Linked DNA regions of Medicago truncatula. The protein of the gene in region 2 interacts with the protein of the main gene of each other region in a pairwise test. Links are inferred from orthologs where the notes say so. Each region holds a gene or a part of one and is shown on either strand. Other genes may lie near its edges. The genes, in order: protein WUSCHEL, transcription factor TCP4, SWI/SNF complex component SNF12 homolog and transcription factor HEC3.

Region 1 (6,587 bases), on a different chromosome or scaffold from region 2:
ATATTTTAAATTTAATCATTAAAGTTGATCTTTTAAAAAGTTACTGATTTTGAAATGAAATTGTAATAAAGGGTGTTTTTGTCAAAGATGGGATAACTGTAAAAATCCCAGCAACTATTTATTTAGCTTATGTTCTCCTACATTTAATATTTTCTGTCATTAACCAACTAAACGAGCTTGTAAATTCTTAAAAAAGCAATCCTTTAATTTTTGTTCATTGAATCTAAGGTTGGGCATGCTTGATAAAACGTTCAGTAATTTTAAAATTCGTCGCATGCCTTTTGTATTATACTGAGTGTAACGTTCATTTTATTTAAAAAAACGGTTTCCACATAAATAGGTTTTTTTAAATATTATTTGATTTTTTTTAGTTTGATTTTATTTAGAATTTTGATATTATGTGGTATTTTACTCTCATATTTAAAATTGAAACAATAAATCACCGTTTATTGAAACTAAAAAGGTTAAATTTTATAACGATATACCTATTTTTATGAGAATGATAAAATAGTGGACAATAGTACAACTATACTTAAAATATAAAAACACTATGAATAATTAATAATATAATCTTAAAAATATATCTAATTAATTGATTGTCAAAAAAAAAAAATCTAATTAATAAGAGTTCAAATTAACTTTAGTTTATCGGTCATTCAATATATTAAACAGGTATGATTACCTCTGTTTTAATCTACCACTATGAATAAAGTTATTACTTTTTTTTTATTTAATCACAATACTATTTCGGATTTCAATTATAAAAAAAAAAATAAAAAAAATCTAACTTCAAAAATTTACTTAAAGTATCATCTATTGGAACTTGTCTCACAGAGGTGCTCGGAGCAAACTGAACATGTTCAAACGAACAGTAACGGTCTATGAAAATCTTTCAAAGACTAACTTATGGTATATGAAAAATTTCTAAATACTAACTTCCGTTCTATGAGAATCTTTCAAATACTAACTTTTGTTTTATGATAAACTTTCAAAGACTAACTTTCGTTCTATGAGAATCTTTCAAAGACTAACTTTTGTTCTATAAGAAACTTCTATAGACTAACTTTTGTTCTATGAGAAACTTCTAAAAACTAACTTCTGTTGTATGAGAATCTTTCAAAAACTAACTTATGTTCTATGAGAAACTTCTATAGACTAATTTCCGTTCTATGAGAATATTTTAAAGACTAACTCTTGTTTAATGAGAAACTTCTAAAGACGGACTTTTGTTCTATGAGAAACTTCTAAAGACTAACTTTCGTTCTATTAGAAACTTCGAAAGACTAACTTTTGTTCTATGAGAAACTTCCAAAGACTAACTTTATCTTGTGAAATTCTTCTAAAGACTAACTTCCGTTATCCGAGAATCTTCCAAAGACAAACTATCATTATATATATGAGAATTTTCCAAGGATTGAAATGTTTGTATAATTTTTTTTAATTAAAATTTAGTTGTAAACGTTTATAATTTTTTGGGTTAAATATGTTTTTGGTCCCCATAAATATGTCAACTTTTCATTTTAGTCCCAATACAAAATTTGTTCAACTTTTAGTCTCTCAAAAATTTTTCATATTCACTTTTGGTCCCTCCTTTAAAGTGAACTCATACGTAGATTCATATTTTTGAATAAAATTTTGCAGAAAAATTCATAATATAATAAGAATCTCTCCTAAAAAAAGTTAGATTTTTTTAACAAAACATGAATTTAGTATGAATTTTTAAATGTTTTAAGGTTAAAAATTCATATTTAATTTCTGTTTTGTTAAAAAATTCTAGTTTTTTTTGGGATTTTTTTTAGAATATTTAACACATTTTTGCACAATTTTATTAAAAAATACAAAAATTAAATTAAAAATAGGTACCGAAAGTAGTGATTGAAAATTTTAGAGGGATTAAAACGAAAAATTGATATATTTATAAGGACCAAAAATATATTTAACCTTAATTTTTTTATTAGAAATTATGTGTTCAATTAATGTACTATTTTCCATATGTTATTCTATCGTAATAATTTATTAAGATTGATGGTGTTAAATGATTAATAATCAAATAAATATAATAAAAACACTACCAAAAAAGAAATATAATAAAATAAAAAGGGAGGGATTAACTTTTAAAAATAAACAATGTTAATTAAGGCGTGTATTAAACCGGGAGGAATGGATATTCTCTTGTTTCAGGGTAAAGGACAATAAAAGAGAGGAAAGGTAGTGAATTTGAAGTACCTTAAATGCCCTTTGCCTTCAATTTGAGAATATAATTCTTAAAATTAAAATTACACACAAAATCAGGTAACTAACAGTAGATTTACCTACAGTTGCACGTTATAGCACCAATGTTAAATTCTTTTTTTAGTAAAAATGCATCTCGCACGTTAAACGACGCCTTACTTTTGGTACTTGAAAAACACTTCTAAGATATATAAAAGTGAAACCAAACATATTTCTAACATTAATCAATCAAGTTAATAATTGTTTGCATCAATAAAAGTGACTTGATAATAGGTGACTCAGAAAATTTTAGATAGAGTGCAATATCATTTTAAATTTTGAGCCGAGTCTAATTCAATAATTTTAACATCAATTTGTAAGTTGATGATTTTCCTCATTTATAAACACATATGTTTAATCCATATTTAATCAACGTAAGATACTGTAACCATATGTGCAAGCAATAAAAGATTACAATTTTTGTAAACTAGCCATTGAGCTAGTTTGTACTGTCTCGCTTTCTCAACGTGTTAAACGAGACGAGAAAACTTGAAAGTTTTATGTTGAAAATCTCTACTGATCTTACCTAAAACGACGGGTTAAACGAGACGGACCGGCAAGGTCGGCTCGTTTTAACACCCCTAATCAAAACAAAATCCAAATTAGTAGTTGTTGTCCCTTAATTTTATGAATCTTTTTATAAATTAATTTTATCAATCCTTATTTACACGGAAATTAAACAACATAAAAAGTTGAGGAATAGATCATCTCATTAAAATTTTATACTGATTTGGTGGGGTATTTTTACAAGTATATTTAGTGGTTTTTCATCACAAATTTTATTAGAATCTCATCTCATCTATCTAATATATTTATAGAGCGATGGATACAAAACTTTCACATGATACCATTTGATGAAATCATGCATTTCCGTATGAATATACTATTTGTTTTATATTGGGATAGGAGATATTGTGGCCGTGTGCATAGAGACAAAAAGAAGACAAAGCAAAGTGTTAGTTTATTTGTCATCTCCTCCAATAATTTGTAACTAAATCACTTCAAAAAGCTAACTATATAAAGTTTAAGAATAATTCCCTTTACATTTCAACCCTATCATATACATATCTCTCTATTTTATTATCTTCACATAAAGTGCAATCACTTTAGTAGAAAAATGTGACATGTTAAAGAGAATCCTAACCTTATTGTGTGATCTTGACTGAGAGAAAGAAAGATTAATTAATTACAAGAAAATGAATATTAATTGAAAGGAACGTATAACTAAAAAAAGGCTTTATTTACATACTATATTTTCTGTTTTTGGTCATTTCCCAGTACTGATCATAATCAAGTCTTGTGCAGATATAATTATTAATTAGACATTTTGAGAGTACCTATTCTCTTATAGAGACTCAAGAAACTGTATAATTCAAAATCTTTGTCACACATATATAGAAATTGTACCATACAAAACCATAATATATAGTCTTCTTTGCTCATCAGTATCATCAATTCTACCACTGCATCAAAAGTACAGTTAGAAAAGTTATACTTCCTGATATAACTTTAGAATATGTGTACCAATATGCAGAACAAAATAAATTTAAAACCCTAATGAAAACAAGGTTCATATATATTGGGACCCATACCATACATATGAGATTCATACTAATGAAAAATACATTTTTACCCTCCACTTTTTTTGCTCTAGTACAACAATATCTTAGTAGCTATTGAAAAATGATATATTCATGTAGGGGCCATGTCTGATTTCCACATCAAAAGAAGAACCTATTGAGAACTCCCAAATCACACTAGCATCATTCTATTTCATTCATTCATTCAGTAACATCTACTTTTTTTCATATCATTTCATACATAGATACATTACAGTACATTTACATACATACCCTTTATTTTCTAATTTAAAATTTAATCAATGTATGCAAATACATTATTTTTTACAATATACCTGGCATACAATGCCTTTTGATCCAAGTAAATTCCTGGTCACTTTCTAAGCTCTCTTTTGTCCCTTCCCTTTTTATGAACATCTCTCTGTCAACTTCAGTCCTTCTCTCCCAGATATCATTTCTGATTTTCTCTCTTTATCACTCCATGTACCATGTGCATGCCCTATATCATCATATTCATATTATTTATATTTATATATATAACCTACCAATACAATACATTACATGCAGTAGTACTCTCTTTCACACTCACCTACCCTCTCTATTCTATCTTTTATTTTATTTTTTGTTTTCTTCTCTTTGTTTTGTTCTTGTTTTCAGTCCAACAAAAACATGGAACAGCCTCAACAACAACAACAACCACAGACACAACAACATTCACCAAACAATGGGATTATGGGAAGCAGACAAAGTAGTACAAGGTGGACACCAACAACAGATCAGATAAGAATATTGAAGGATCTTTACTACAACAATGGAATTAGATCACCAAGTGCAGAACAGATTCAGAGAATCTCTGCTAGGTTAAGACAGTATGGTAAGATTGAAGGCAAAAATGTCTTTTATTGGTTTCAAAATCACAAAGCTAGAGAAAGACAGAAGAAAAGGTTCACTTCTGATGTTAATGTTGTTCCCATCATTCAAAGAGCACCAAACAACAATACTATTATTTCTGCTGCTAATTGGAAACCTGATCATCATGAACAACAACAAAACATTAATGTTCATACCAACCATTCTACTTACAACATTTCATCTGCTGGTATATTCTTTTTCCTTTTTGAGACAAGAAAAAAAAAAGTAACTAATTGATTAAATATTATATACTATATCCTATATTAATTTTTGTGTGTGTGTTTATTTAGGGCTTTCTTCTGCTTCATGTTCTTCTGCTGAGATGGTTACTGTAGGCCAGATTGGTAACTATGGATATGGATCTGTCCCCATGGAAAAGAGTTTTAGGGTAAGTTATTGACATGAAAAACTTTATACTATTATTTCAAGTTTTCTTTCCCTTTGCAATGCATTCAAATCCATGATCTTTTATTTAATAACCAAAAGGACAATCCAGAAAATTTCCATAATAAGAAGAACAACCTCATAAACCTAAGCATTAAAAATAAAACTTTAATTTATGAAGTGAAAGTAACACTTGTATATTGAATCATAACTAGTTAATGCTTCTGTAGATTATTAAAACTCTATATTTTAGGTATAGCTTTAGACATGTCACATATATTTATTTTCTTCTGCAAAATGTTGAAATATCAAGTTTTGATTTTTTTTCTTCTTTTTCTTAGGAGTGTACAATTTCAGCTGGATGTAGCAGCAGTCAAGTTGGAAGTACCATAAACCCTCACATAGGATGGATTGGTCATCATGTCGATCCATATTCTTCAGCTTATGCCAACTTATTTGAAAAAATAAGACCAAATGAAGAAATCATGGAAGAATATGATCAAGGACAAGAAAATGGTTCACCTGAAATTGAAACCCTCCCTTTATTCCCTATGCATGGTGAAGACATTCATGGTGGCTATTGTAACCTCAAATCAAATTCATCTAACTATGGTGGTTGGTATCAAGCTGAAGATGCTGGATTCATGTATGGTTCTCGTACTACTTCCTTGGAACTTAGCCTCAACTCTTACGGCTGTAGGTCACCAGATTATGCTAATTAAATTTGCTAAGTTTAAAGATTTGAAGATGAAGCTTAATTTATCTTATATATAATAATAGTATGCTACATATATATAATGAATTTAGGGTATGTGTTAAGGTTATATATATTTAATGAATGTGAAAATTAATGTAGTTAGTTTGTTTCTGTTTTTAGTCAAGAGTTGTTCCTAACTTGACAAGTGTCATGTAGGCAACTTAATTGGACTGACAATGACTGATTATTAGTAATAATTATTGTTATGTTATTTTTGTTGTCCATTTCCCTACAAACATTCTTTGCATTAATTTGCTAATTCAAATGATTGGCTTTACAAAAAGATACTAATATACTAAAAGTGATGATGGAATGTTAGTAAAAGTTAATCACACACAACACATAATTAGCCAACAACTTTACTCAAGTGGTAGCATCATATTTGGTTTGCAACCAGTGCAAAATCATGTGCTGCATCAAACTCCATCGTTTTCTATGAATTAGTGACGTAGTTAGGACATGTTTTTTTTTTGGATGAGTTTTTGGGTTAGTAATTGATTATATTATGTTATTTTTGTAACAAAGGAGAAATTCATTTGTATCCAAATTCTTCACTTTAAAAAATAAAATTAGTACTGTCTGATGTGTACAACTTATATAATAACTAGTTATATGCTTAATGTTTTGTTTAGGAGGTTGTTGATAAGTGGATCTTGATATCGTGTTGACAGTTGATATATTCG
Region 2 (7,906 bases):
AACACGCGAAAATGCGCGTTTACGGAGCGCTGCGCCTGAACAAAGGCGATGGGCGCCCACAAGTCAGTAAGCCAGCACTGGGCGCCCCACTGCCAGCACCAGGCGCCCTGGACAGGGCAACATGCTTGTTGCTCCGTGTCCAGGTGCTTGGGGGTGGTCGTGTAGGGGCCCTAGGCGATCGTTTTGAAGTGTTCTTTTGCTGTTTTCACCTACTTTTCTACTGGAACACATTTAACTTTGTTGAAACTTTAATTTTCCAAATAGTTTGAAGCTTGTAATTGTGTCGTTTTCGGTTTTCTGGAAATTGTCGAAACTTGGTTTTTATGAACAAAAAGGGGTTGCAAGCTTAGTCTACAGTTCTTATGGGCTTAGGCAATGCTTGTAAGGTTAGTACAATATCTTAATCATGTCAAACTTGATTTTCGGGTGGGATTGTGGAAAATGTGAAGTTGGGTTTCTCATACGAACTTAAGTTGTTCTTGGGTTAATGTCCAATGACCCGGAGGCAACTTAAATTCATGAATACATTGTCGATTAAGATTGTTTGAAGGTTTTCAAGTTGTCTATGTCGTTTTGCTTTGGGATTTGTCAATGTTGGTCGGTGACCACTTGATATGGTTTTTGGTCGGAAATGTTTTCTTGAGCCAATTGTCTTATGAATTGTTGTGACCATTTTTATATGACTAAGTGAAGTTGTATGAATGAATGATTGTATTGGATATGATGTTTATCATGAGAGGTGTATGCTATCTTACCTAGTATGTAAGGAATGCTTGAATGGTGAAACCACATGTGATAGTTGATGTTGAATGACATTTTTTGATTATTGATAATCATGTTGATGTGAGATGATGAATACTATGAATTAATTGTGTATGGGCATGTTTTCTTAATAATGCAATGTTGTGGAGGTAATCAATATAATTGGGTGTCGTCCTATATATTGAGGTGAAAATTATGGATTATTGTCGCATTATCAAGTCCTTGTACATGTCCATGCATCATAGTCGTGTTAAAATTTTATATGATGTTTTATTCATTATTGGGCTCCGGCCTTGCATAGATCTTTTTAGATCTAGTTACGATGTTTTATTCCTTATTGTGCTCCGACCTAGTAGAGATATTTTGAGATCTAGTTTGTGAACTTCGGTCTTGCAGAGACCCTTGGTGGTCTGGATATGGGTGACGACCTTGAGGAGATTGGTACCACATGCATATATGTGTCAATAGGTGCATATCATGACATGAGTCTTATTGATAAATGTGATTGGTGATTGTTCGTGAAATATGATTGAGGATTGTTCATGATGTATGTGATTGGTGATTGTGTATGAATAATTGTGAATTGATATTTGTTCATGATACATGTGATTGATGAATATTGATGTGAGATATTGGGGTGTGATGTAAGCATTGTTATGTGAATATTATTGATCAAGTGCATGATGTTTATATTGAATTTTCATGTTAACTGTTATTTTGTTTATGATGATGTAATACTTACCCCCAGTGGTTTTAACCGCCTATCTGTCTGTATGGATGGGTAGACGTTGTGCAAGAGTAGTGCTTGGTGACTTTTGTGCTTGGTGGATATCGGGAGCTTTCTCCAATATCGGTGTTTAGTGTTTAGTCGGCTCTGATCTAGGCTTCATTGTGTCAGTCTAGATTAGCTTTTGTTGGACTTTTGTTATGTTTGGAGATTACCCGTATGTTGAGATTTTTGAGATGCATTTATGTTGATGTGATTATTGATTCATGACATGTATATTTGGATCACTCTGGTTTATATTCCGCTGCGACTGTTGAAGTTTATATACATGTTTATGTTTATTGGTTTTGAAATTTGTATGTGACGTAGCCTTTATTTCTTAAATAAATGCATTATTCGCATGTTTAATTGCTTTAATAGAAATAGGAGTGTTACAACACGTGTCCACACTTAACGTTTTTTATTAAACCTAACATAAGGGACCAAAACGAGACTATTAAAAAACTTAAAATACTCAAACAATTTTTTTTTAGTTAAGGGACCAAAGTGATACCAATTAAATACTTAAGGGACCAAAAGAGCATTTAAGCCAACAAAAAAAGAAAAAGAAAATTAGTGTATTAGTGAGATTAATTCAGTTAATAAAAATAATGCATAATATATGTAAGAATCGAGGTTGAAGCTCCAGCCACCATAAAAAAATATTAAAAGTAGTAACCATGATCACCACAAAAAAAGTAGTAAACTATTATTGTTATTACTATTATTATTATTATTATTATTATTATTATTATTATTATTATTATTATTATTATTATTATTATTATTATTATTTATTTTATTTTATTTTTAACGACGGAATGTAAAATTTGTAATGTTAATTTTTGTATTTTCAAATTATTAAAATGTTGCAGCAATTTAAGTTCATACGAATAAATAAATAATTTTTGTATAATGATGTAAAGTTAGTGAGACCTACTTAAATACTCATTGGAGTCCTTAGAGCAACCACATTGGTAGGGTCTTTACCATTTATGATCCGGTATCTAATAGGTACACTCAATGTAGAAAAATAAAATTGAGGGTCTCTTAAGTCACATAGTCTCACTTAATACCACCATCTTAAGTGGACCCAGTGGCGGAGCCAGGAATATTGTAAAGCCCGGGCAAAAAAAAAATTGCAACACATTTATAGGGCGTACATAAGAAATTGCAAGCAAATAATAAAAAATGTAAAGAAATTGCCCAATTTATAGGGGTTTATATAAGAAATTCATAGGGATTTACACAAGAAATTACAAAAAATTTGGCCCGGAGCCCGGGCGAGTGCCCGGGGTTGCCGGGCCTTAGAACCGCCCCTGAGTGGACCCCACACCAGTTTTTAATAAAATAATTATTATTTGAGTTGATTTTGTTGCTTTTCAATTGCAATTTTCATTCTTGTTTTCTCTAATATATACTCCCTCCGTCCCGGATTAACCGAGTCAAAAGCTCATTTCACAAGTATTAAGAAAAATGTATAAATGAAGGAGAGAGAAAAATAATTTTAAGTGTACTTGTTAAATATTAGTGCATTTTCCACTATCATAAATGTAAAGTGGAATATATTGAATTGAAAATGATGAAAATAGTTTTAACCAGAGTTATAAAGAGAAAAAAATAATTAATATTGTATTGAAAAGTGAAATGACTCAATTATCTTTAAGATACTTTTTTTTTCAGGAAATGGCTCACTGAAATGGCTCAGTTAACTTCCATAATGCTACCACAGTGTATCGTTGGCTTTTCATTTTTGCTCTCATTTTCTCAAAGTCCCTAAAAATTATTCATCCATTCTTATCCTATTTACTCATAATTAAAATCACTGTGTCGTTATATTATTTTGGATAATGAATCCAAACCAAATAATTAGTTATTGTTTTAATTATGTAATTTTATCATCCTTTTGAAAAAAATTGTAATTCTTAATATTTGGCAATATTATTATTAATTATTTTTCAATTTTTTAATAAACTACCGTTGATATAAATTTTGTAACTTTATATTTTAATCGATTTAATATTATAAAATAGATAACAATGTATTAAATAAATAGTTATTGGTGGGATCTATTTAGACCCTACATATATAATTTTTTATATCTGTCTCTCTCTTAAAAAATTATACATGTAGAGTCCATTTAAGAAGTCCATATTAATCGATTATCATTGTGGATGTTCTACCTCTTATATTAGAAAATTGTGTAGAAGTAGTTCCTTTTATATTAAAAATTGTATAGTTGCCTTATATATTTAACTTGTATTTTTTTTTTTAAATCACCAAATTTTATTAAATAACCAGATCGCTGCTCAAGACGAAATAAAGACCGATGAGAATACAAATAAAATGTGTCATATATAGGCTGAACATGCAAAATAAACATCCTAAAAACACCCATAATGACGACACCCACCAAAATATAGGTCACCATATAAAACAGACTCCTTAACAAAAACGACCATTGTAAAAACGATATCCGACCATCCATCGTCGCCACTCACCCCTTTAGATTCCATTTAACTTGTATTTTCAACTCGATTTTTTGTTTAGTTTTTTAAATAACATCCTTAAGACAGTGATTGACCAAACATAAAGAAACAATTTGACTTTGCAGAGAATAGGACAACCATGCAAAAACTTAGGCAGACAATGTTCCTTTCAGAAAAGGAAGAGAAGGGAAGCCTCCAAGATGACGTATACAGTAATTTCACAAACCAGATAGAAGTAAAGTAGTTTCGAGGAAGAAGTAAATTCAGCGATCTATGTTACTGCGTAGTTTCTTTTAAATGATAAAAGGGGTAAAGATAGAGAGAGAAGGCCAAAAAAGCTGTGATGGTGTCCCTTTCAAAAGGTGTGGTGGTAGCATATAAAGGATCTATCCCTCCAACAAAGACATCCACCCTTGTCTTTTTGAAATAATAATAAAGTTTTAACTTGTAACAAGCAAGTTAAACTCCCAATTACCAATAATAAAAATAGGTGAATTAATCTATTTAGTCTCTGAATGCTGAGAAATTGTAAAATAGTCCTTGAATGTAGACTCTATTGGTCAATTTTAGGGACTAAAGTGATTAACGGAATCTACATTCAGGAACTAAATAGGCTAACGAAATCTGCATTCAGAGACTAAATTGATTAACAAAATCTATATTTAAGGATTATTTTACAATTTATCTGCATTCAAGGACTAAAGTGGCGCCTCATATTCTATTCAGGAGCTAAATGACTAATCTCTCAATAAAAATAATATAACAAGGAATGGAGGGAAATTAAAAGCAAAAAAATAGGAAAAGAAAAGAGGGAAAATGGAAGGAAAGTAAATTGGTGAAAGGTAAATGAATGAAAATTGGATAGGTTGGTGGTAATATGTAAGTAGAGTACAAGAAAACTAGCAGAAGAGCAGTGATGAAATAAAACGGACGTCCATTCTGACCAAACACTGCCACCCTTTGTCACTGCCATCATCATCAAAAGCCTCTTTCTTATAGGGCCAGAATGAATTCCTCTTCCCTATACCCTTAATTTACTGTTATCTCTCTCTCTTCTTTCCTTCTCTTGTCTTCCTGTGTGTTGAGATATGGAAAATTTGCTGGATTTTTCACAACAGGACACCTCTTTCTCGTCCTCTACAAGTGGGTATTAACCAACTCATTCTGCTCTCTTCTACTTTCATTCATTAATTAATGCAACAATAACACTGGTATCACACTTCATTCAACTTGCAAAAAAGGCAAAAAGTGGTACAGACTTAGAGAGAGACAGATAGAGGAATGGGTTAGGCTCAAAACTGTTAAAGCATTCTTGGGTTTGGTGGTGATGATGGAAATGGGAAAATTGAAGTGGTGGCAGTTGCAACTAGAGTGTGAGAAAAGGAAACAAAACCATTGATTTAGTAGTAGTGTTGTTCTGTTGAAAGCTGGAAGAAGATAAGCAGAACAAGGGTCTGAGTCTGGATCCCCCCAGAACAAATTATCATAATCATCCTCTTTATCAACAAAACCAACAAGACCCTCATCACCATAACTCTGTTCTAAATTCAAGTTATGTAAGGGATAATGAAGAAGAAGAAAATGATGAACAAAATTCATCTCCCTCATCTGAAAAACCCCTGCATCATCCTCACTATCATGACCAACACCAACACCAACACCAAGACCCAACCTTTCATTTTCATCACCAGTACTTTCAACCACCCCAACAATATCTAGATTTAGAACCACAACCAGAGTCACTTGAACCACCAAAAAAACGGTCTTCTTTTCTTCCACCACTACCACACCCTAATCCACCAACATCATTATCTTTCTCTTCCATCGAATATGCAAGAAAGATGGGAGAAACAATACACGACCAGCACACAGGAACAGCAACAGCAACAGCTACAACAACAAAAACAGCAGCAACAACCTCGTCGAAGAGAATCAGCAGCAGCGGAGGAGGAGGAGAAATCGTGGAGGTACAAGGAGGTCACATTGTCCGTTCAACAGGACGGAAAGACCGTCACAGTAAAGTTTGCACCGCGAAAGGTCCCCGTGACCGCCGTGTACGACTCTCAGCCCACACTGCGATTCAATTCTACGACGTGCAAGATCGTCTCGGCTACGACCGGCCAAGTAAAGCAGTCGATTGGCTCATTAAAAAAGCTAAATCTGCTATCGACGAACTCGCTCACCTCCCCGCTTGGAACCCCACAGCTACATGTTCTTCAACACCACAACAGCAGCAGCAGCAGCAAACAAATGAAATGTTTCACCGGCAATCTCCGGTGGACAACAATCCAGTAACCGCTTCTACCAGTCACCGCTCAGCGGCATTAGAGCGAAGAATGCCACCACACGAACAACAATTTCCTTCCCAACAACAACAGTTGGAGATAGACTACAACAGTAGTAGCAGTGGGAAACATGGTTTTCTTCAAGGCTCGTTAGACACTGACATTGCGGATACTATTAAGTCTTTTTTCCCAGTTGAAACGCCCACCACATCTTTTCACAATTATCAACAACCGCCGGATTTACTCTCTCGAACGGCGGCAACCACCCAGCAGCAAGATCTCCGTCTCTCATTGCAATCTTTTCAAGATCCTATTATGCTTCAGAGCCACCATGACAACCACCACCACCACCACAATAACAATAACCAAGTGCTTTTCGCCGGAAACTCCTCCCTTGGTTACGACGGTGGTGGAAGTGGAAGCACCTTGTGGTCTGAGCAGCAACAACAGCAGCAGCATCAAGAGGAACATGATAACGGCAGATTGAATAGAATGATGGCTTGGAATGCTAATAATATTAATGCTAATGCTGCAGATGGTGGTAACAGTGGCCATGGTGCTGGATTTGTGTTCAGTACACCGGCACCGGCGTTTGGCGGTTATGGTCAGTTTTTTACTCAGAGGGGACCCCTTCAGTCCAGTTACAATCCTTCAGTTCGTGCTTGGATAGATCCTTCAATGGCGACGGCGAATATCGTTGATCACCATCATCACTATCTTTCGCCGATGATCCATCAGGCTTCTGTCTCTGGTGGTGGATTCTCAGGCTTTCGTATACCAGCACGAATTCAGGGTGAAGAGGAACACGACGGCGTATCCGATAAACCGTCCTCTGCTTCCTCCGACTCTCGCCATTGATTGGAACACTGATAAAAATAATCCAAACTTTCAGGTTCTACCTTCAATACCCAGTTCTTAAAATTTCAATTGAGTTTCTCTCTGTTTTATTCTTACTGCAATTTTTTCTTTTTATTGTGTTTTGACTGTTTTTTCAGGTTCACGGTTTGCGTTGCAGACGGTCTTTTTTGGGAGAGAGCTTTTGGTTTTGAAAGAGCTACAATTGGAATTCAAAAGCAACTTGGGTTTGGATTTTTCAGATGTTTCAACTTCAATTCAATGGCTTATATATATATATATATACCGTGTGGGAATGAAGAAAATCTGGTTTGATTTATTCATTCAGATTTATCAATTTCAGTCCCCCGGTTTTGTACTACAATTTATCTTTTGTTTTTCAAGCTTTAACTAGGACTAAGAGTACTACTATGTTTATGTTTGTGTCTAATTTGCTTCATTTGTGTCCTTGGATTTCAATTTGTAGTAGTTGTGTTGTGTTTTCTTAATTAGAACTTGTTCCATTTCTAGTTTCGACTAGTAATTTGGAAAAAAACATGCAGATTAAATAACTGAGCTAGCTTGCTCAAAAGTTGTTGTTTATTTCCATCTTGGTGTAAAACCCCAGTTGCAGAATGAAGCATTTTCTCCTTGTCACGAAAAAGGTAGTAAACCCAAATAACCCGACATATAAATTTTGCATATTCAAACTTGTGTATGATTTTGGCTTTGGTTGTTGGTATATATGGTTAATGCTGTCTTTGTTACAA
Region 3 (6,952 bases), on a different chromosome or scaffold from region 2:
TGGTCCAACATTGTTTTCTTTCAAAAAGATCATTCAATGGTCAATTGATCCTTTTTGATCAAAAATAAATTTTTTGAACTTTAAATTAAAGTTGAGTAAAAAAAAAAAACTTTTAATTAAATTAAAAAGTCTCTAATATTGCAAAAATTAAAATTGAAGATTACCCTAAACTCAAAATAAAGAACAAATAGCTTGTGACGATTGACTTGATAAGGAGTTGTTTCAATTGTAAGATTGTGTATCAACTTTTGTTGTCAAGGTATGAATCCTAGTGATTTAGTAAGCACCTATGTAAATGTTTATTGAACCTTGAGGTATATTCTGATATTGATGAGTCCTATAAAATAAATAAAGAACAAATAAATAAAGAGTTAAATAAGTTTTCGTTTCTTATAAAATTTTCAAATTTCTCATTTGTCCCACTAAAAGATTTCTTCAATTTTTGGTCCTCCAAATATTTTCTGTCACAACTTTTGATCCTTGCTTTTAGGTAAGATCATGTGTACCCTTCATATTTTTGAATGAGTTTTTCAAGTATGTTTAGAATATTATAAGAATCTCTAAAAAAAAATTATAACTAAACATGATTAAATATGATTATTTAAGCACAAAAAAAATAAAAAAGCTTAATTGCATTTTTGGCCCCTAAGTATCACAATCTTGCAATTTTGATCCCTTATAAAAAACAATAACAAATCAGTCTGCTAAGTTTACTCCCTTTTGCACTTTTGGTCCCCCGGACCAATTTTGACTGGGTCAATGCATAAGTGGCACCCAAATCACTTTATTTATTAAACTTAGTTTTGGCTCCCTAAGTATCACAATCTTGCGATTTTGGCCCCTTAAGAAAATAGAAAGTCACACGTGGCACCTCACTTTAAGTGGTGTGGGTGCCACGTATGCATTGACTTGGTCAAAATTGATTTAGAGAGTCAAAAGTATAAAAATGGGTAAATTTGGGCTGATTTGTTATTGATTTTTTTATAGGGGGCCAAAATTCCAAGATTGTGATACTAAAACTACAATTAAGCCTATAAAAAATCACATTTAATTAATCTCTAATTTAAAAATTCAATACTTTTATCAAGAGATAATTCTATAATGTACTAAACTTGACGACATATGTCTTTATTAAATTTTGAATAATACACATAAATTGACTTAAAAACAGATACCAAAAGTGATGACATAAAGTATTTGAAGGATAAAAAATTGAAAAAATATTTTCGAGAGAGTAAAGGCGAAATTTGAAAATTTTATAAAGAATAAAAACTTATTTAACCCAATAGAAAATGAATAACAAATGTCTAAGAATGATAAAATGTTTTAAAAAAATGTTAAAGAATGGCCCGAATGAATTGATTAATGAAACAAATATAAAACTAATTTATTGGAAAGTTGTAAATTCAATTTTATATAGTTTTAAAATTGTTGTTTGAAATATAAAACTACTACTATTTTGTAACTCTGTATCCAATTTATGTGAGTTTACTTGGTTAAAAGAGACATTGTATTATACTACTCCCTCCGGTCCTATTTATAAGAGAATTTTGGGTCAACAAAAGTTGATGTATCTAGTTAAAAATTCAGTCCAAATACATTCACTTTTGTTGACCTAAATTTCTCTTATAAATAGGACCGGAGGTAGTATTAGCTTATTTGGATGTGCGGTGGAAGTAACTTTCTCACGCCCCAAGGTAAAAATTGTTGTAATTTGGAAAAGCTACTATATATAACTTCAGGTGGCATTTAGTATAGGAAAGGGGAGTTGTTTCCCACCTTTCATTGATCTTATTATAATCTACACACACTATATCTTTCCCCACTTTGTCATCAACCTCACTACTATCATCTCCACCTTTCACCACCACCACACCTCTGAACCCAAGTCAACAACCCACCTCATCACACCTTCAAAAAAACTCTAATAGGTACCCATTGCTTGGGAGTTTCAGTTGCCAAAATCGCTTGCCCAAATCCAATCAATTCAAATAAACTAAATACATAGAAAAAGGATAATCAACACATACAAAAAAACCCATAACTCAACCACAAAAAAAAACATAAAAAAAACTCAGATCTAAATTTTTTTGAAAGCACAAATCTGCTGGTGTTTTATTGGATTCTATTGTTGATGATGAAAGTGGTTGTTTTTCTATTATATTTGAGAATGAATGAAAGGTTTTTTGAAAGTACGTAATGTTATCAATGCCATGGTTGTTGTTACAAAAACTATGTTTTTCAATATTAATGGTGAATTTTACTTTTTACATGTCTAATTATTTAAAATTGATTGCCATTTTGGAACCTATTATAAGCGTAGAATGGAAAGGAATTTTTATGCACAAGAAAGGGATTGAAAGATCAATTTTATGTCAAACAGCAAAATTCGAATTGAAAATCAGTGGGGAAAGATCAGTGAGGCTGAAGGGGTGGGTTGTTGACTGGAGTTTGGTGGTGGTTAAATGAGAGAGACGACAGTGAGGTTGAAGACAAAGTTGGGAAATATATAGTGTGTGCAGACCATAATAAGATCAACGATCCTCTTAAATCTAACCGTCAAAAAATATTTTTCCATGGTGGGAAACAACTCCACTTTCCCATGCTAAACCCCACCATAAATTCATTGCAAACATGGTTCCTACTGTGATTTTGACTTGATGTGAAATTGGTACCGCACAACTAAACACATACTATATATATATAGATATTGGAATGCAAATCATATATATATATAGCATATATTAGTCTTAAGGGATAAATTTCTAATCACTAAACAACTTGAGAAACAAAACTTTTCAATTAATATCCATGAGACACTAATTAATCCAATGTTTTTTTTTTTTGACAAAATTAACCCAATGTTTTTAAAACATTTTCTTTTTATTTCAAGGGTGAGGTGTTCTGTTGATTTATCGTTGTTCCGTTGTGTAGGCGGTTTAGTCGCTTATTTGATTTATCGTTGAATAAAATGATTACAGTCGCTGAGGTGTTCTCTCTAGGCTGGGAGGTAGGGGGTGAAGCGTGGAGATGGAGGAGAAGGTTGTGGGAGTGGGAGGAGGAGTTGCTAGGGGAGTGTCGCCTATTACTTAACAATTTTGTTTTGCAGACTGTTGTTACTGACAGGTGGCAGTGGCTCCTTGACATTACCGGGGGGGGGGGGGGGGGGGGGGTACACTGTGCGTGGAGCTTACCAAATTCTTACTACATAGGTAGCTACTTTAAGTGATGAAACGAGAGATCTTGTTTGGCATAGGCTGGTACCTTTGAAGGTCTCTATTCTATCTTGGAGGTTGTTGCGGGACAAATTACCAACAAAACAGAATCTTTTGAGGCGAGGTATTATTCAACCCGCGCGCGGACATTTATTGTGTGGCGGGGTGTGGGAACAACGAATCAGTATTACATATGTTCATTCACTGTGATATTTTTGGTGCTTTATGGCACCATGTTAGGAATTGGCTTGGCATCTCTGGAGCTGATCCCTATAACATACATGCTCATTTTATTCAGTTTACTATCGCTATAGGCACTTCGAGGTCCAGACGTTCATTTATGCAGCTTTTGTGGCTATTGCGTGTGGATATTATGTAACAAAGAAACAACAGGCTATTCAATAATGTTCACACTCCACTGACAGACTTGATGGATAAAGTTAAATATACAGCTTTGTGATGGCTAAAAGCTAATAATGCTAGTTTTGTTTATGGTTTACAAACATGGTGGTCGAACCCTTTACGTTGTTTGGGTATCGATTGATTTCTGTTATTGTTTTTGTACTCAGACATATTGTAATTTTGGGGTGACCTCTTGAGTACACCTTGTGCTTATGGGGATTCACCGCCGTTGTTAATATATAAATTCCATTTTTGGTTCTTAAAAAAAAAAAAAAAAAAAAGGAAAAAACACGTTTTATTACATTTGGATTTGGTTATAACATTCACAACTTGTTTTAGAACTAAAAACGACACCGTTTCAAAACTAAACGCTTCACACTGACTCAAAACTTTGACCCATTTTCCAAACCCTAGCCAAACCTTCACCATCTTCATCTTCCTCAAAATTCATCTCTTTCTCTCTCTAAATCTTCACTCTCTCTCGTCAATTTCCTCAATTCACCTCTCTCTCTTCGCAATTTTCACTCATCAAACCCTAATTCATCTTATCCCCTTGTTTCTCTCTCTTCATCACCAAACCCTAATTCACAAAAAAAATCACATTTTTCACTTCTTCATGGCTTCTTCTTCAATCAGTGGATCTTCCTGAATCCAGATCGAGGTAAACATTACTTAATTCAGAATCAAAATCAGTGATTTTGGTTCTTTCCATTTTGGTAACAGAATTTTTACGAAGTAGTTTTCACACTTGAATTTGTTGTGATATAGGTACCCTTTTGGTCTATGATTGATAATATTGCATAAAGTTTAGATTTTTTTCATCTGGGTCTTGAAGATTTGAATTTTTAGGGTTTCGACCCTTTTGTTGATTAGATTTGGATAGTGATGTCTGTGAACAATAATAACAACCCTTCTAAAGGCATTGGTGCTTCTTCATCATCCTTTGGTAATGCTGGAATGCCCTCTAATTCTATGTCTACAAACCCTGTTTTTTCACAAGCCCAAGCCCAAGCCCAGGCTCAAGCTCAAGCTCAAGCCCAAATGGCTGCTGGTTTTCAAGGCCAGTTTCCACAGTCACAAGCCCATGCTATAGTTCAAGCACAAAATAAGGCTCAGGCTCAAGCTCAGGCTCATGCACAAGCTGCAGCAGTAGCTCATGCTCAGCTCCAGGCTCATTTGCAAGCTCAAGGGTTGAGTCTTAATCAGAATCAGGTTGGTGGTTTAGGGAATTTAGGTGTTTCGTCGTCGTCGATGTCTACGCCTGGGAGTGGCAGTGCGAAACGTGGTCCTTTGAAACCACCTATGAGGCCGGTTGGATTTCCGCCTCAGAATAATTTCTCACCGTTGAGACCAATGGAACTCACGCCTGCTGCTGCACGGAGAAAGAAGCAGAAGCTTCCTGAGAAACCGATGCAGGAAAGGGTGGCTGCTATATTGCCGGAATCTGCTCTTTATACACAGCTTCTCGAGTTTGAGTCTCGTGTGGATGCTGCACTTTCTAGAAAGAAGGTTGATATTCAGGAAGCGCTGAAAAATCCGCCTTGTATTCAGAAAACTCTTCGTATTTATGTATTTAACACTTTTGCGAACCAAATTCGCACGATACCTAAGAAGCCAAATGCCGAGCCTCCGACGTGGACACTGAAGATAGTTGGGAGGGTATTGGAAGATGGTGTTGACCCTGATCAGCCGGGAGTAGTTCAGAAGTCGTCACCGATGTATCCAAAGTTCTCGGCTTTCTTTAAAAAAGTAATCATTACTTTGGATCCGAGGCTATATCCTGAGAACAACACTATTATGTGGGATAGTTATCGATCACCTGCTCCTCAAGAAGGTTTTGAAGTGAAGAGGAAAGGGGATAAAGAGTTTTCGGTGAATATACAGTTTTATATGAATTATGCACCTGAGAAGTTTAAGCTTTCACCAGCATTGACGGAAGTTCTTGCTATCGACGTTGATACTCGTCCAAGAATTATTGCTGCAATATGGCACTATGTGAAGGCTAGGAAACTGCAGAACCCTAGCGACCCTTCTTTTTTTCACTGTGATCAGCCTCTTCAGAAAGTATTTGGGGAAGAAAAGGTGAAGTTCACAACGGTTTCGCAGAAAATATCACCACATTTGTTCCCTCCACCACCTATAGTTGTGGAGCATCAGATCAAACTATCGGGAAATAGTCCAGCTGGGAGTGCTTGTTACGATGCGATGATTGATATTCCTTTTCCTATTCAAAGGGAGTTGTCTGCACTATTGGCAAATGTTGAGAAGAACAAAGAGATTGAAACATGTGATGAATCGATATGTGGAATCATTAGAAAAATCCACGAGCATCGTAGGAGACGGGCATTCTTTCTTGGTTTCAGTCAATCTCCAGTAGAATTTATTAATGCCTTGATTGAGTCTCAAAGCAGGGATCTGAAAGCTGCAGCTGGAGAACCTAGTCGCAGTGCTGAAAAAGAGCGCCGAGCAGATTTTTTCAACCAACCATGGTAATCTTTGAGAACTATCTCTGCTCATTTTTCTATCCTCCATTGTTTTATTTTATTTTATATTTTGTTTTTTTTGCTTGTCTCTGTTTATTTGCTACCATCTTTGATTGCAAATTAATTCATCATCGTCTGCCAGAATTGATTGTGATTGACTCAAAATCAGATATAATTTAGAATTGTCACTATACTTCTGTGATTAATAGTCCCCTTCCATATATTGTCTTAGTTGATGAATGATGATGATTTATATATAAACTTAGCATATATGTTAGTTGGACTGTTGGATTTATGCGCCTATTTTCATCTCATATGGCCCAGTGTTGTCAAATAGCGCACTATGCTGTCATAGCATAACATAATTTGAACAAATCATGATTATTCTGCTATATGCTATTAGGCACAAAGTGTAGTGTAGTGTAGCGGAATTTGAACAAACCACCATTTTCTAAGATCTGCAGTTGACAACACTGATATATATGATAGGATTTCATTTCAAATGTTTTAAAATGCATTTTTTTTCTTTCTTCTGTGCACAATCCAGTTAAAATAAGCCTTGAATCAATGTATTTGTATTTTCTATGTTTAATGGATGCATTTTACGATTGAGCATTAACTATATCAATTATCATTCACTAAAAGAATTCATATATTGTTTGACAACATGAGCAGGGTTGAAGATGCTGTTATTCGATATTTGAATCGCAAACCAGCTGCAGGAAGTGATGCTCCAGGAAGCACATGATACCTAGAGAAGTCCCAGTGCTCCTTATTTTGAAATCATTCATCCTTTTATGCTATTCATTTCAATATAAATCAAGGGAATTCTTAAGTAAGCTAGTTTTCCAT
Region 4 (6,442 bases), about 19 Mb from region 2:
CACAGAAAGACAGAAAAGAAATCTAGATAGAGAGATATTACTATATAACTATAAATTGATCAATAAATATTTATATAGTTTCTCACGTCACTGTTGAATTTATTCCCAGAAAGAGAGTCGGCCAAACAAACTTTCCGGCCAACAATCAAACTGCATACACATTATTCTATTCTTATAATTACACACACACACACACACACACACATATATATATATATATATATATATATATATATATATATATATATATATATGCCTCTATACGTAACCAAAGCCAAACGTTATGATTATTCTTCACAACCTTTAGTCAACAATCCTAACAAACCTTTTTCCCTCTCACATGATCAATTTCCCCTATCAAACTTTACTCTATACTACCTAGCTATATATATATACGTCTTCACTCTTTAATTTATTTTTCCTCTTTTTTCTCTTTCTCTAAACTCATCATCAACTTATATAGTTACATACATATACTAATATAAAAAATACTTCTCCAATTTCATACACATACATAAATAATGGTAAGGTTGTTGTCTTATACAGAAGACATAGGTCATGAGTTCGAATTCTGAATTTTTTTTCTCTCTTTGGGAAGACAATCATCAACCCTATGCAAACTTCACTTGGTGAAACCTTGTGCAATATGGACTGTCCTTTTTATACATAGATAAAAATATTTAAGTATAATATAATTTAACCTAACTAATTAATCACTCACTAATTACCTCATGATGGTTAAAGCTTGATGAGCCATCACAAGCATGAACATGTGAATGTCCTCCGGCGTCAAATTGAACTCCGGCGGGTAAGTCCACTGTGGCAGCTGTTGTGGAAGTGAGTAGTAAATTTGGTGCAAAAGGCCAAACGTCACAACCGGAAGAAGGGGACAATAACAAAGCACTAGGAGTTGTAGAATTAATGCATTGTGATGAAAGTGGCAATTGAATGTGTTGTTGTTGTTGATTTTGAGGAGTGGATTGAAGCAACTTGATTTGTCTCTTCAAAAACTTAACATAACGAATGGCTTCATCAAGCATAGAAGCTGTATCCATTTTAGTTCCACCAGGAACAAGTCTTTGAAGGATACGAATCTTCTCACTGATTCTTTCTCTTCTATGTCTAGCTGCAACACTTTGTGGATCTTCGCTGATTCGAACGTTTCTTCGTTTTGGTTTTCGAATCGTTGCTGGGTCGATGTCCACCGGTTGCATAGCTGCAATCTTGTACATCATTTCCTTCATAGCTCCTAACTCTTCTTCTTGTTCTTCTACGTCTTCGATTCGATGGATCCCTAAGATGTCACTGAGTGAACCTGATGAAGATGGTGGTGGTGGTGGTGCCATGATCATGTTGCTGTAGTTATTTTGTGGCCAAATTACAGAAGAATTCATAGGAACTTGATGATGATCTTGTTGGAGAATAATACGGTTTTGTTCATTTGTTTCCATTTTTTCAAGATTCCAAGTGCTTGTGAATGCGCTACTAGTATTATTTTGGTTATTTTCCATGACCAAAAACAATTATATATATGAAAAATATGAAGTGTTAGGTTCTAATTTTGATGGATCTAGCTAGTTAGATGATCTTGTGTATCTTTATTGATTTAATACTTTAATTAGCTAAAATTCTACCAAAAAAAAAACTTTAATTAGCTAAAAGATAAGAGGGAATAAACAATAAAAAGGGGTTAATTTGAGATATTTGATCAACTTTTTTTTGAACAACAGAAGAAATGAATATTCAATAAAACGAATATAAATGATACTCAAACTCAAAAGACGATAAGAGAATGAGAGAAGAAGAGAATAAATTTTTGGATATGATCATATGAAATGAAACAACGCTACTTATAAATAATAGTTAACGCACACATGTGTGAAGAAGAGGAGATAATTAATGTGAAGGAGTAGAAATTAAGGAGATTGAGGTTAAAAATATATTACCTAGCTTGAAAGTTTTTTTTATTGTTGTATTGTATATGAAACGTTGAAGAAGGTTTTTGATGGTTGAAAAAGAGGGTAGAGGGTATAGAGGGGGCCCAAAAGGAAAGGAGAGAATTGAGAAAGAAAAGGGAAAGTAATTTATATATGTAGGAAGGGGTTTTTACTGAAAGGGGAGTCACTGCAAAAAGCATGTAGACAAATGAATGAAAAGAAAAGGTAGTGCATGGTGCAGTGCAGCAAATTAAAGTGGTTGAATTGAATTGAACGAATGTAGTTCTACAAAGTCATGAGATTGATCCATATACCTAGCTATAGCCCCTCCTATCCCAACTTCAAAAATACTAGTCTAGTTCAGTTCATAGTTATATTTTTAGACAATTTATTTTATTAAAATTTTTATTTCATTATAAATATATATGTAACGTCACACGATTAAATATGTGTTGACTAATTTATTTTAGACCTAATATTATCTAAATAAAAAACAGGCCTTTTAGTTAATCCAAAAGTAGACTTTTGTGACCTATCCAATAAATGTAGACGAAATTGAACTTTAATAAAATAATATTATTGTCTTGAAATATTTTGAAGTGTCATGTTAAGAGGTTTTTTTTAGGCTTAAATATGTATTTCATCCTTGCAATCAAGGGTCGTTTAAAAATTGGTCCCTGTATTCGTAATCCTTGCAAACTAGCCTTGCAATCATTAATCATTTAAAATTTCGTCCTTTGACCAACTTAATCACTGCCACATATAAAATTCCAATTTTGCCCTTAAGAAGAGGACAAAATATTGAAGAAAGAATTGGAAACTCAGGGGTAAAATTGGAATTTCATTTGTGATAGTGATTGCCACGTCGTCAAATTAGTGACGCGGCAGTGATTAAGTGGGGAGAGGGACGAAATTTTAAATGATTAAACAATGCAAGGGTAAATTGTCAGGATTAGCGATTACAGGGACCAATTTTTAAACGACCCCTAATTGCAAGGATGAAATACATATTTAAGCCGTTTTTTTTATAAGTGTTTACAAGAGCTTATGAAAATATTGTGATATATTTATACTTTTTTAATTGTAAAGAGGTCAAGTGACGGAAAGAGCAGCCTCAAGAAGGGCAAAGCCAAAGCAAAAAATACAATGAAACAAATCACGGAGAGAAAAAAAAAAAAACAAGAATACAACAATACAAGAGAACAAATACAAAGAAATACATGTCTACTTATAAAAATATAAAACATAAACAAATCCTATCAAGGCAAGCATAAGAAAGGTTTCACAGCTCACTCGTGAAAAAGTGCAAGAGGGCTCAAAAGAGGGAAATAAATATATGTATAAAAACATACATGGTTAGTTTTAATTAACTAACGTCTATGAATTGATAAATCAATTGTATTTTATTTTTTAAGGGAAATAAATATATGTATAAAAACATACATAGTGATAAGTTAGTCAAAAATCACGATTGTTAGATAAAATTAGACAATCCATACATATCAAACCAAATATATATTTATATGAATGATTTTCGTGTAGCAATTGGACTCATCAATGTGTACGACCATTAATCAAATATGCATCCATCTAATGAAAATAATAGAAATCGTTCTATCTTAATTAGTGTATTTATGCATATGCACTGCCTAGGTAGCTAACGGTGAAAATAGTAATTGAATTGGTTCCTCTCTCCAATTTGATGTTAGGTGCACTGAAATCCTAGGGCTGCTTCCCATTTATTGCCATTTTCATATGCCTTTTGCTCCTTGCTATAATTTAATTCGCTCCCCGTCTCCTTCACTCATTTTGGGATTGGTTGGATGGCGACTTCAAAATTTCGGTTTACAAACTCAAAAATCCAAGACCAATTTAAATGGCCAACTATTCATTAAATGAAATCCTTTATCGATAGTCGGTTAAATAGAGTTCTCTATGCATTTTCATGTAAATACAACTCAGTTGTTAACTATAAATGTGTTATATCAGTGTAGTTTTAAGTAGGTTAATTGATAACGGTAAGGACGTTGATATAGAGATGACAAGGTTGAAACTTTAAATTCCTCATTCCTTCACACTTAATATGTATCAGCTTAGATATTAAGTCACTTGATAAAAAAAAAAAATCCTATTTAAAGTAAAAAGGAATACTATATTTTTAATTAAAATATGCACGAAAAATTGCAAGAAAAAATATGTACGAAAATTACGATAATTTAGATATTTTTTTAAGTCAAATGAGATCGTATTTTTTATTAAGAAAATTATTTTGCTTCCCCTCATAGAAAATGATGGTTAGTTTGTACCTAAAAAAGGAGGTTTTTTCTACATTATCCTATCTTGTTTAGAGTGTATTTACCCTTTCAAGATATCAACCAATCAAAATGTAATATACAAAATGTAACATTAAATGTCAAATAAATGAGTCAATTTATTTTAAGCAAAATTACACTAAATGTCCTTTATTTTATTTATTTGTAACACATTAGTCCTTTATCTTTTCTTTGTCCCATTTAGATCCTTTATCAATTAAAATGTGCACAAGTTAATCCTTTTCTTCATTTTTCTATTAAAAAAACATGAAAATATTAATTTTATTAATAACTTTATTTTATAAAATATTTTTTAATAATTAAATTCAAAAACCCTATAAACATTTCATCCTCATATTCATCATCTTCATCTTCTTCCTTAAATCAAAAAAATTGTTCATCCAAATAAACCTTCAAATTCCTTAAATATTTTCACTTCCATCTTCTTCTAAACACAAAATTCAAAATCCCCAAATTTCATAAACCCTAATTTTACCAAACCGATAAATTTGGATTTTGGATTTAAAGAAAAAATCTCACAATTTGGATAGTAAACCTCTCATGTTTGAGTGCTCAAGCATAGTTTTAGTAAAGATCATCACAACTTAGATCTTGTAATTTTCTCATCGAATACAATTATTATTTTCCCTGTAGCTTTCCTATCTATGATGGTAGTGAAGGCGAGGTTGGCCTGCAACAATAAGAAATTGTTTATACCATTGTATAACACTAGTAAAAAATCCAAAAAGGTTAAGAATCTAAAAAGCTAAACAGCTAGCTCATATGCACAATCCTCGTCAAGCTCACATCAAACACCATTATAATCAAATTTCATAGAAATCAAGAACCCGATCGATACTTTGAATTCTTGGTTTCTTTCTTTAAATCTAAAATTCAGATTTATGGGTTTGGCAAACTTAGGGTTTATAAATTTGAGTATTTTTTCTTCAAAAAAAAAATTGAGTATTTTGAATTTTGTGTTTAGAAGAAGATGGAAGTGGAAATATTTAAGAAATTTGAAGGTTTATTGGATGGACAATTTTTTTGATATAAGGAAGAAGATGAAGATGATGAATATGAGGATGAAATATTCATAGGGTTTATGAATTTATTTATTATTATTTTTTTTTTTTAAAACAAAGTTATTAATAAAATTAATATTTTCATGTTTTTTTAATAGAAAAATTAAGAAAAGGATTAACTTGTGCACGTTTTAATAGATAAAGGACCTAAATGGAACAAAAAAAAAAGATAAAGGACTAATGTGTTACAAATAAATAAGATAAATGACCTTTAGTGTTATATGATGGGTTGAATTTGATGTGAAATTTTAATTGTTGCAAGACCTATAGTGTAAATTAATTAAGATTGAATACCTAAATATATAATTAAATTAAATGTTACCTTAGGATTAAAATTGATTTTTTTTTTATAGAAAAAATTGACTCATTTATTTGACATTTAATATTATATTTGTATATTACATTTTGATTGGTTGATATGAAAGGATAAAAATACCCCTAAACAAGAGAGGGTAATCTAGACCTAAAAAAAAGGGTGGTTAGTAGTAGTACTACCCAACAAAAGAATTGATTTGGTGCTAGCCTTTTTGAATTCCTATAGTTGCTAGAATAAATTACATGTAATTTACCAATTAATGACATATCTCTTTTTTTTTTAAGGGAGAACTAAAGAGATATCTCTTGTTATTCAGTCCAGTTCAAAAAACTATATGCAATAAATGTATCATCATTGAACATAGAACACAGTCCCCCTTTAATTTGATGCAACCCCTTTCTCCGTGGCTCAACAATTACGGTAATTTATTGATGTATAAGAAGACAATTCCGTCAGCAAGTCCTAGCTCAACTGGTAAAACGTCAAAATTGTTAGGCCGAACGTCATGATCAGGATTCGAACCTCAATACCTCCACTTGTGTATGAGTTTATAATGGCTTTGTCATTTCGTCTATCTACTATAAAAAAAACAAGAAGACAATTCCAAAGTCACAATTAATTTTGACATCACCCGCATGTGTCATACTAGTATTCTTGTATTAATTAATGTCATTGAATAATTTATTTCAATAGTATGAAATTACTACTACTTCAACACACAAGACGATTTGGAAATATCAAATACATTGGTGATCATTATATTAATCGTAAAATTAGCTCATCAGCAAATAATTA

Evidence for each region.
Region 1: the proteins of transcription factor TCP4 (region 2) and protein WUSCHEL interact in binary tests that used the Arabidopsis thaliana proteins (3 or more experiments, as listed by UniProt). The link is inferred for Medicago truncatula from reciprocal best matches to the Arabidopsis thaliana genes TCP4 and WUS.
Region 3: the proteins of transcription factor TCP4 (region 2) and SWI/SNF complex component SNF12 homolog interact in binary tests that used the Arabidopsis thaliana proteins (3 or more experiments, as listed by UniProt). The link is inferred for Medicago truncatula from reciprocal best matches to the Arabidopsis thaliana genes TCP4 and CHC1.
Region 4: the proteins of transcription factor TCP4 (region 2) and transcription factor HEC3 interact in binary tests that used the Arabidopsis thaliana proteins (3 or more experiments, as listed by UniProt). The link is inferred for Medicago truncatula from reciprocal best matches to the Arabidopsis thaliana genes TCP4 and HEC3.

The regions. Positions count from the first base shown.
Region 1 is NC_053046.1:8,573,105-8,579,691, reverse strand, and holds protein WUSCHEL, read left to right. Parts: upstream 1-4,325; 5' UTR 4,326-4,520; coding exon 4,521-4,950; intron 4,951-5,053; coding exon 5,054-5,151; intron 5,152-5,488; coding exon 5,489-5,869; 3' UTR 5,870-6,060; downstream 6,061-6,587. UniProt on the Arabidopsis thaliana protein: Transcription factor that plays a central role during early embryogenesis, oogenesis and flowering, probably by regulating expression of specific genes. Required to specify stem cell identity in meristems, such as shoot apical meristem (SAM).
Region 2 is NC_053049.1:24,584,007-24,591,912, forward strand, and holds transcription factor TCP4, read left to right. Parts: upstream 1-4,890; 5' UTR 4,891-5,858; coding exon 5,859-7,160; 3' UTR 7,161-7,194; intron 7,195-7,297; 3' UTR 7,298-7,745; downstream 7,746-7,906. UniProt on the Arabidopsis thaliana protein: Transcription factor playing a pivotal role in the control of morphogenesis of shoot organs by negatively regulating the expression of boundary-specific genes such as CUC genes, probably through the induction of miRNA (e.g. miR164).
Region 3 is NC_053047.1:8,638,468-8,645,419, forward strand, and holds the start of SWI/SNF complex component SNF12 homolog, read left to right. Parts: upstream 1-3,952; 5' UTR 3,953-4,278; exon of another isoform or gene 4,279-4,466; 5' UTR 4,467-4,502; coding exon 4,503-6,106; intron 6,107-6,775; coding exon 6,776-6,848; 3' UTR 6,849-6,952. UniProt on the Arabidopsis thaliana protein: Involved in transcriptional activation and repression of select genes by chromatin remodeling (alteration of DNA-nucleosome topology).
Region 4 is NC_053049.1:43,198,991-43,205,432, reverse strand, and holds transcription factor HEC3, read right to left. Parts: upstream 1,583-6,442; 5' UTR 1,512-1,582; coding exon 714-1,511; 3' UTR 516-713; downstream 1-515. UniProt on the Arabidopsis thaliana protein: Required for the female reproductive tract development and fertility.